Ovis aries: one gene and its partner. The protein of the gene in region 2 purifies or fractionates together with the protein of the main gene of each other region. This does not show direct contact. Links are inferred from orthologs where the notes say so. Each region holds a gene or a part of one and is shown on either strand. Other genes may lie near its edges. The genes, in order: UBN1 and CABIN1.

The links.
Region 1: the proteins of CABIN1 (region 2) and UBN1 purify together in Homo sapiens (affinity purification with western blotting; 6 studies listed by BioGRID, with this or other methods). This does not show direct contact. The link is inferred for Ovis aries from reciprocal best matches to the Homo sapiens genes CABIN1 and UBN1.

Annotation. Positions count from the first base shown.
Region 1 is NC_056077.1:4,495,403-4,499,205, forward strand, and holds part of UBN1 (ubinuclein-1), read left to right. Parts: coding exon 1-325; intron 326-3,803. UniProt on the Homo sapiens protein: Acts as a novel regulator of senescence. Involved in the formation of senescence-associated heterochromatin foci (SAHF), which represses expression of proliferation-promoting genes. Binds to proliferation-promoting genes.
Region 2 is NC_056070.1:71,394,994-71,398,796, reverse strand, and holds part of CABIN1 (calcineurin-binding protein cabin-1), read right to left. Parts: intron 3,363-3,803; 5' UTR 3,308-3,362; coding exon 3,305-3,307; intron 2,847-3,304; coding exon 2,754-2,846; intron 2,388-2,753; coding exon 2,274-2,387; intron 1,872-2,273; coding exon 1,737-1,871; intron 1,585-1,736; coding exon 1,404-1,584; intron 1-1,403. UniProt on the Homo sapiens protein: May be required for replication-independent chromatin assembly. May serve as a negative regulator of T-cell receptor (TCR) signaling via inhibition of calcineurin. Inhibition of activated calcineurin is dependent on both PKC and calcium signals.

The DNA of each region.
Region 1 (3,803 bases), on a different chromosome or scaffold from region 2:
GGACGAAGAACATAAGCCCATAGCAGTGTCATCAGCAGAAGCTCAGGGCTTGCGGGAATTGGAAGGCACCTCCGACCCTTTGCTCTCGCTCTTCGGCTCTGCCTCTGACAATGACTTGCTGCAGGCGGCCACCGCCATGGACTCGCTGACGGATTTGGACTTGGAGCAGCTGCTCAGTGAGTCTCCAGAAGGAAGCCCCTTCCGCGATATGGATGATGAAAGCGATTCCCTTGGGGTGGGACTGGACCAGGAATTCAGGCAGCCCTCTTCCCTTCCCGAAGGCCTGCCTGCACCCCTGGAGAAGCGCGTTAAGGAGCTGGCTCAGGTATGGTGACATGGAGTGGCTGGGCTCTCCTGGAAGCGATTGGGCGGATCGTTGCTGGTCCCGAACCATTTGCAGCTCATGGCCCAGAGCAACCCTTAGTCAGTGGGCGCTCCTAGTGTCTGCTTTTCCAGGCTTTCTTCCCACCCCAAGCAAGGGCACAGGGTCAGCTCTGCCTGTCCTTTTGTGATTCCTTCACGTCTGGAAAATTTGCTTCTGGAGAGATTTTTCTCTCCTTTGTGCCTGTCAGAGTCTCTTTCCTTTTGTGTGACATATATTCATGTTGGCAGTAGGCAGCTGGGGCAGAGATCCATCTCTTTAGTAATCTGGAGGTTTTGAACATTCATAGAAGTTTGCAGACATGTTGGGCGTGGGGCATATGCTTAGTTGCCACTGGGTTTAGTGTTAGGTAGTGATTATAGGAATCTGGAATGGTGATAAGTAAGAAGAGCTGAACCATAAGTGCTGTCCAACAGCCCCACATTAAAAGCAGTAACGGTCTTCGGAAAATAGCAGCCATTCCTCCTGTTTTCCCCCTGGGGATGGGGAGTTGAGCTAGTACTAGAGCACTAAAGGCTGTAAACTCCACGGTCCGTGAATACCCATGCTAAGCCAAGCACGGGTCATTAGTTACAGTGTATTTCAGTTAAAATACCATTTCACCTTGGACATCCTGACTGTGACAGCCCTGGGGGCACTTATACTCCATAGCTTAGGTTTCAAACCAGTGACTCTCAGTGTTTCAGAATCTCTGTTGTGTATACTAGTCCTCATATACACTAGGACCAGGGCAGGATAAAACGTTAACCACTTCTGCAAATGATTTTCTCACTTGCAAAAAATACTTGATCAAGGCATGTGAAATAATTCAGACGTCTTATTCAGAGCTCTGTTCATCCTTGTGGAATGAACACAGTGTTGTTTGAATGTACCCATTTAAATGAATTATGCCCTGTCAGGATTCAGGGTCTGTCTTAACAGGATATTAAGGTAGAAGTAGTTAAATCTGAACTTCGTGTGTATGAGCTTATTGTCCTGTGCTTGCTCTCAGAATATATGTTAAAAAAAAAATATTACCCCTTTTCAGTCTTGTGGTATGTAATCAGATTATCCTGTAGCTCCTGAAAGCCTTGAGTCAGGTCAGACGTGTGTGGCAGAGGCCAGTCATTCCTTAGAGGAAAGTTAAAGTGGCTCTGGGTGCGTCCCTGCTGCCAGTGCGGGGGTGTCCCAGTCTGATAACTGAGACTCAGTATTACATTTTCTTGGGAAGGATGGACAAGTCTGGTGGAAACAAAGCGGCTCCATGTGGAACAGCATTGGGTCATGATTTGAGAAAACCTTACTCTGTGGAGCCCATCAGGTGGATGCCGAGCAGGCTCTCCTTCCTCGGGAATTGCCGAGTCTCGGTCGTCTTTCAGGCGTGATGCAGGCAAGTCAGGAGCCCGTAGGTAAGGTAGGCTCAGGTCCTGGTGAGGAGGTGGTGACTGTACGTCACTGTACTGGCTTGAACATATATTCACGTGTGAAACTGTTACTTCAGCCAATCACCTGGCCCTTCAATGGCAGCATTAGGAAACTTGGGAAATTGGGAAAATCCTGCCGCTCTGAAAACTATTTTCAACTCACTTTCTTTTCTAGCCTCTGTGTATATGTTTTTATGCAGTTGTAATTATAGTCGTGAATAATTGTTTTCTGCTCTTTTCACTTAATAAATATCATTACAAAGCCCTCATTATTTTTAATGATTGCATGAACAAGAAGGCTTATTTTAGAAAGTGACTTAATGCCACTGTGAAGGCTCCTGGTGCTGGGGGCACTTGGCGCCGCCTGCACGTGTGCACAGGCGCTCTATCCCCAGGCCCTGCTGTGAGAGTCTGCTGGCAGAGGTTCCTCCCAGGGAAAGACGCCTGTGTACACAGAAATGACACATGATTTTCAAAAGTCACACGGGGATCTTTGGATCATTAATAAGAAGCCTCGTCCTAGATCTTGAACTGGACATTATTTTCCTATTTAAATTAAGCTTGATGCATCTAACTAACGTTGGCAGTGTTTATGTTTCTCACTTTATTTCTCACTCCCTTCTTTTTCTTTTTTTTCTCGTCGCTTTGTTTTTGTGGTGCTTTGTTGAGATTTTAAATCTTGGCCCTAGGGGGTACATGTATCAGTTGCTACTGTGTCTAAACCCACCCTACCCCACCCCACACATGTGGTGGCTCTCGGGGCTGCCTTCAGCTGGTGAGATAGCTGGGCCTTGGGATAGCTAGGACCATAGGGCCTCTCCCGTCTCATTCTGGGCAGGACAGTCTCGGGGTAGTATCTCAAGAGGGTGAAGGTGGAAGCCAGAAGACCCTCATGCTCTAGCCTTTGAGGTGGTGTGCACCTCTGCTACACTGTGTTGGGAAAGCAAGTTACCAGCTAGCGGCCCCCTCCCATGGGGATGCCCCGTCCCGGGACGGGAAGAGTCCGTGGTCCTGTTTGCAGTCCCCCATGGTACTGAAGCAGATTCTAACGTGATGTGCATCAGTCTCCCAGGGAAAAATGTTTTGCAGTTGGAAGCGAAAATAAGATTTGTCTTCTAACTAGGTGTTATTCTTAAAACTTCGAAAAATATATTTGAAAGTGTCCATGTGTGAAGGAGAGATTCTGAGAGGGAGCGCTCCAGCGCTGTGAGCCCACTTTCCGCTTTCTGCTCCCCTCTGCTGTGCCTGTTCACGGGCCCCAGGGAGCCCATGGTTTGACCTGAAGGCCTTGCCCCTGTCTGTCTTCTCCTAATATGTGTTGGTTGTGTCTTTTGTCTTGCTGGTTGGAAAGCTCAGGTAACGTTGCCCCTTGATATGTAACTGTCTTGATAGAGTTTGGCAGGTACTCACCCTGCTCCGTGCAGATGACCCGTGTCTGTTTTCTCTTCATTCAAGCATAAAATGGAAAGGATAGTGATACTAAAAATAGAAAAGAAATGGAGACACATGTTGCCCACCCTTCTACCTGCTCAGTGCTTACTCTTCTGTACAGTTAGAACCCTTGCATTGCAAAACTAGAGAGACACCGATTCACAGAAAATAAGATAGGAAAAAACAACTTTGAGACCTCCCTCGTGGTCCTGTGGTTAAGACTCTGTACTTGCAGTGCAGGGGGCACAGGTTTGACCCCTGGTCGGGGAGCTAAAATCCTGCACGCCTTGCGGTGCACCCTAAGAACAAACGAACTGCTTTGGTCTTTGTCAAGAAAATCATACCAGATTTCACTCTATTCGGCAAAAGCAGGTACAGTATATAAAGTTGTGATCTAGGTGCTGAAAGGCTAGAAGTGGCTCTTCTTAATAATGAATAAAGAGCTCATTAAAAGGCTCTTGGAACTATTGTAAATCAGCGTGATCTGGCTGTCTGGGTTTATTTCATTTCCTAGCTAATCTCAGAGTGATTGATTTAACTGATTCATACAACCGCCTCCAGCAAGGGTGTTTCTCATTAGGGTTGTG
Region 2 (3,803 bases):
GGGCCGGAGGGAGGACAGAGCCGGGCCCCCTTGCCAGCCACCCACTGAAGGAAAGCCCAGCTCCCAGGGCAGGGCTGGGTGCAGAGAGAAAGACAGAGGCCCTCTGCTGCAGCAGAGGGAGGCCTGCCTCCTCGGCTCAGGGATGCCCATCGGCCCTCACAGGCACACACACCACTCAGTGCCCAGGGCCGTCTTCCGCTCAAGATGGGTTTACCAAGTGCAGAGCCTGAGCCGGGGCGCAGAGATGGCAAGATACTGAAGGCCAGGCCTCCAGGGGGCGCTCGAGCTCCAGGACGAGCCCAGGGAGACAGGGAAGATGCAAGCGCCAGAGTCAAAACGGGGAAACGGGCAGCGCACAGAGGGCCACAGACGCACACACACTCTGCGACGACGGGACGCGAGGGTCCGCGCCGGAGGAGAGCCCGTGAGCGAGCGGGCGGTGCCAGACGCACAGAGAAGAGGACAGACAGCAGAGGCCCAAAGGCGGAGGCCGCGGGCCGCGCAGAGAAGAGGACAGCAGAGGCCCACAGCAGGGGCCGCGAGACATGCCGGCCCTGCCTGGAGGGGCAGGGGTGGCTGAGCGGGCTCTGGGGACCCAGAGAGAGGCTGGGGTTGCCTTGGGCAGTGACCACATGGAAGGGAGCAGCAGCTGGCCCCTGCCACCAGGCTCGAGCACACGGAGCCAGGGAGTGGTGTAGGCCCAGCCTCCCAGCCTCCGCCACCCTGTCCTGCCCCACCCACACCTGGAAAGGGAAGAGCCGTCAGAGCCAGGAGCTCCCGGCTGAAACCTTCACCCAGGCTGGGCGCTGGTGTGCGTCTGTGCCCAAGGCCAGCCACCCTGCACCCTGTCCTGCCCAGGGCCCTCCTGCATAGCCGCCAGGAGGAGCTGGCCCAGGAGGCCCAGGACCCCGTCAGTGCCTGCCTCGGGATGGCCCACAAGGGGCCATATGTGCCCTGCAGAGCAGAGGGCCAGGCAGAGCAGCGAGGGGCGCCGCCACAAGGCAGACGGGGCTCCACCTGGCACAGGTGTTTCCAGCAGCCACGCTGCTCTAGGGGGGGATGATAAGCCGCGAGGAGGAGGAAGCGAGCTTCCGGCACTGGGAGCGAGACTGCAGCCACCAGACCGCCCATTAGCAAATGGCAGAGCAGGCCTGGGGCAGGAGCAGCGGCGCTGGGGGGAAGGCTGAAGGGAGCCCGTCTTCCCACCATGGCGCCAGCGGCAGACCGCGACTGAGGAGGAGAGCGAGCAGAGCACAGCGGGGAAGCAAACGCACCTCCATTTCCCCTGAACGCTGGGCAGACAGCCCTTGCGCGTCAGCGCAGGCCCCGAGCTCAGCCAAGCCGCCCACCCGCCCGCATGCCGACGCAGCGCGCGCAGGAGAACTCAGCCGCGCCCCACTCACTGGTGTAGTCGCTGAGGGTGTACAGGACAGTGATGAGGTTGTCCAGGCAGGGCCAGTGGTCAGGGTTGCACCGCAGCCCTTCCTCAAACGCGTGGCGAGCCAGGGGCACCCGGATGAGCCTCAGGGCCACGTGTCCAATCTTATACCAGAGGTTGACATCCGTGGAGTCCAGCATGACTGCCTGCAAGCAGCGCCGCAGACGCGTGCTCAGTGAACCCCGCCCTCACCAGCAGGCGTCCGAGGGGACAGCACCATCCCCGCTGCCCAGAGTGCCCAGGGATGACTGGGGAGCCACGCGGCCCCCAGGGGCTGCCTGAGGCCCGCGGGGAGCACCTCCAGGTAGAACTCCATGGCCGTCTCCAGGTCCTCCCGCTGGGCGGCCAGCTGCGCCAGGTTCTTGTACGTGGAGTACTTCAGCATCAGCCCAGGGTGCTTCAGCCCCTCCTTCTCATCGCCAGACGGAACTGCCTGGGAACGCGGCAGAGAGGCACAAAGTGAGAGCCAGGCCTTAAGCCTCCGCAGGCCATCAGCAGGGCCCCGGCCTCTATGCAGGCCTGGGGCCAGTCCGGAACCACCCTCCACTGGAGAACAGTGTGGCCCTGGGGGTCTTTCAAGGACAGCCCCACCCCCACCCCAGCTCTGAGCACACAGACGAGAAAGGCCAGACCGCTGCTCACATTACGTGTGCTCTGCCGCTTCCCAAAACAGGAGGCCCTGAGCCATCCACACGGCCGCCTCCACGCTGAGAGCTGAGAGCGGACAGAGCGCAGCAGCTGGCAGACTGTGACGCGCGCGTCTCTGGACTCGCCCAACCTTGGAGCACCGCAGCAAGGAGGGCGTTCCGCACGTGGGAAAGCCCGGCGCACTCACCTCCCGCAGCAGGCGCGCCTCCAGCAGCTCGTGGTAGGCCTTGGCGGACTCCTCAAATCGGTCGTGCTTCTGCAGGTCCAGGGCCTTGTGGTACAAGGCAAAAGCCTCTGCTTCCTGAAAAGCCAAGACGGGAAGCGTTTTCCGAGAGCACAGAGGTGTGTCTCTTCAAGCCGACCGTGCGTGTGGGGGCTGCACTCCAGACCGTGTGAGCCGGTCTCGCTGCGGTGGAGACGGTCCTGAGGCCCCACCCTCCCAGGGGCTCACTGCTCAGCGGCCCCCCAGGTGGACACAAGCAAGGTGGGCTCAGCTGAGTCCGGGCACCAGCAGGCAGCAAGCCGAGGGCTCGGCCTGAGCAAGGCCGAGGTTCCAGGAGCCCCGCTGACACCTTCTGGGGGGTGGCCGCGTCAGCCAGAACAGCCCAGAGCCCAGGAGGGAAAGGAGACTCCAGGGCCAGCTGCAGAGGAGCCCGTGACCACACACCTGTGCCTCCTTTGTCTGGGTCTTGTGACTTTTAAAGCTTCCTTCATGATCATCTTCGACTGTGGAGCTGGCATTCAAGGCTGCGATTCGAATCTAGAGGCAGAGGTGTGAGGGAGGAGAAGAGCTGCTTTTAGATAAAACATGGCTCATCTCATCAATAACCTACAAGGCGCACAGCTCTCTGTAGCACACTCGGCCTCAAACAGCTAGGCCTCCCCAGATGTGGGGCTGAATGGCAGGTGGCCACTCAGGGAAAAGGGGACCTGGAGCATTCTGCAGGGACCACGCCAACCTGCTTAGGGAATGTGTCCACTACAGAAGGGCCAGGCTGGGGACACCCAAGAAAGGCCTGACGCAGCAGAAGACCCAGGCACCAGAAAAACAGCCTCCAATGACACGGGCTGTGTCTCTCTGCCACAGAGATGCGGTCCTGCCGACCACCCACAGGAGGGCGGACACCCACACCCTCGAAGGTGCCCACAGCCCTACTCGGACAGCCTTCAGGGCCCCCAAGAACCCGCCTCCCCCCGGAGGGAGGCACCAGCACATACCATGGTTGGAGCCTCTGGCACAGGCAGTGGCGGTGGGCAGGGCCAGCCCGCTCGGCTCCTGGGGGAGGGAGCAGGACAGGCTGAGGGGGGCCAGGAAGAGCCGGGCCCGGGGACCCGGGCACACAGGCGAGCGTGCCTCAGACGGCTCAGCAGTCTGCCACCTGGGGAGCCCCTGGCCTAGGGACAGAGCGCCCGCCCTGGCCAGACAATTGGGGACACGGCGGAGAGAGCCTGACACAACCCCGGGGCTCACTGCTCAGCACAGTAGTAGACTGACAAACAGTTATTTCTTCAAAAGGTGAATAAAATGGAAACACAGGCAGCAGGTAGAGACCAGGTCAGCCGCCCAGATGGGGAAGGTGAAGAAGGAAGGCCTGCGATAAGACCGGGGTGCAGGCGGGGGGGGGGGGGGGGGGGGAGGCAGGGGCCTGGAGGGCGAGAGGGGAATGTGAAAGAAAAACCCATGCGGAATACAAAGGAAAAACTTAGAGGCAGGCAG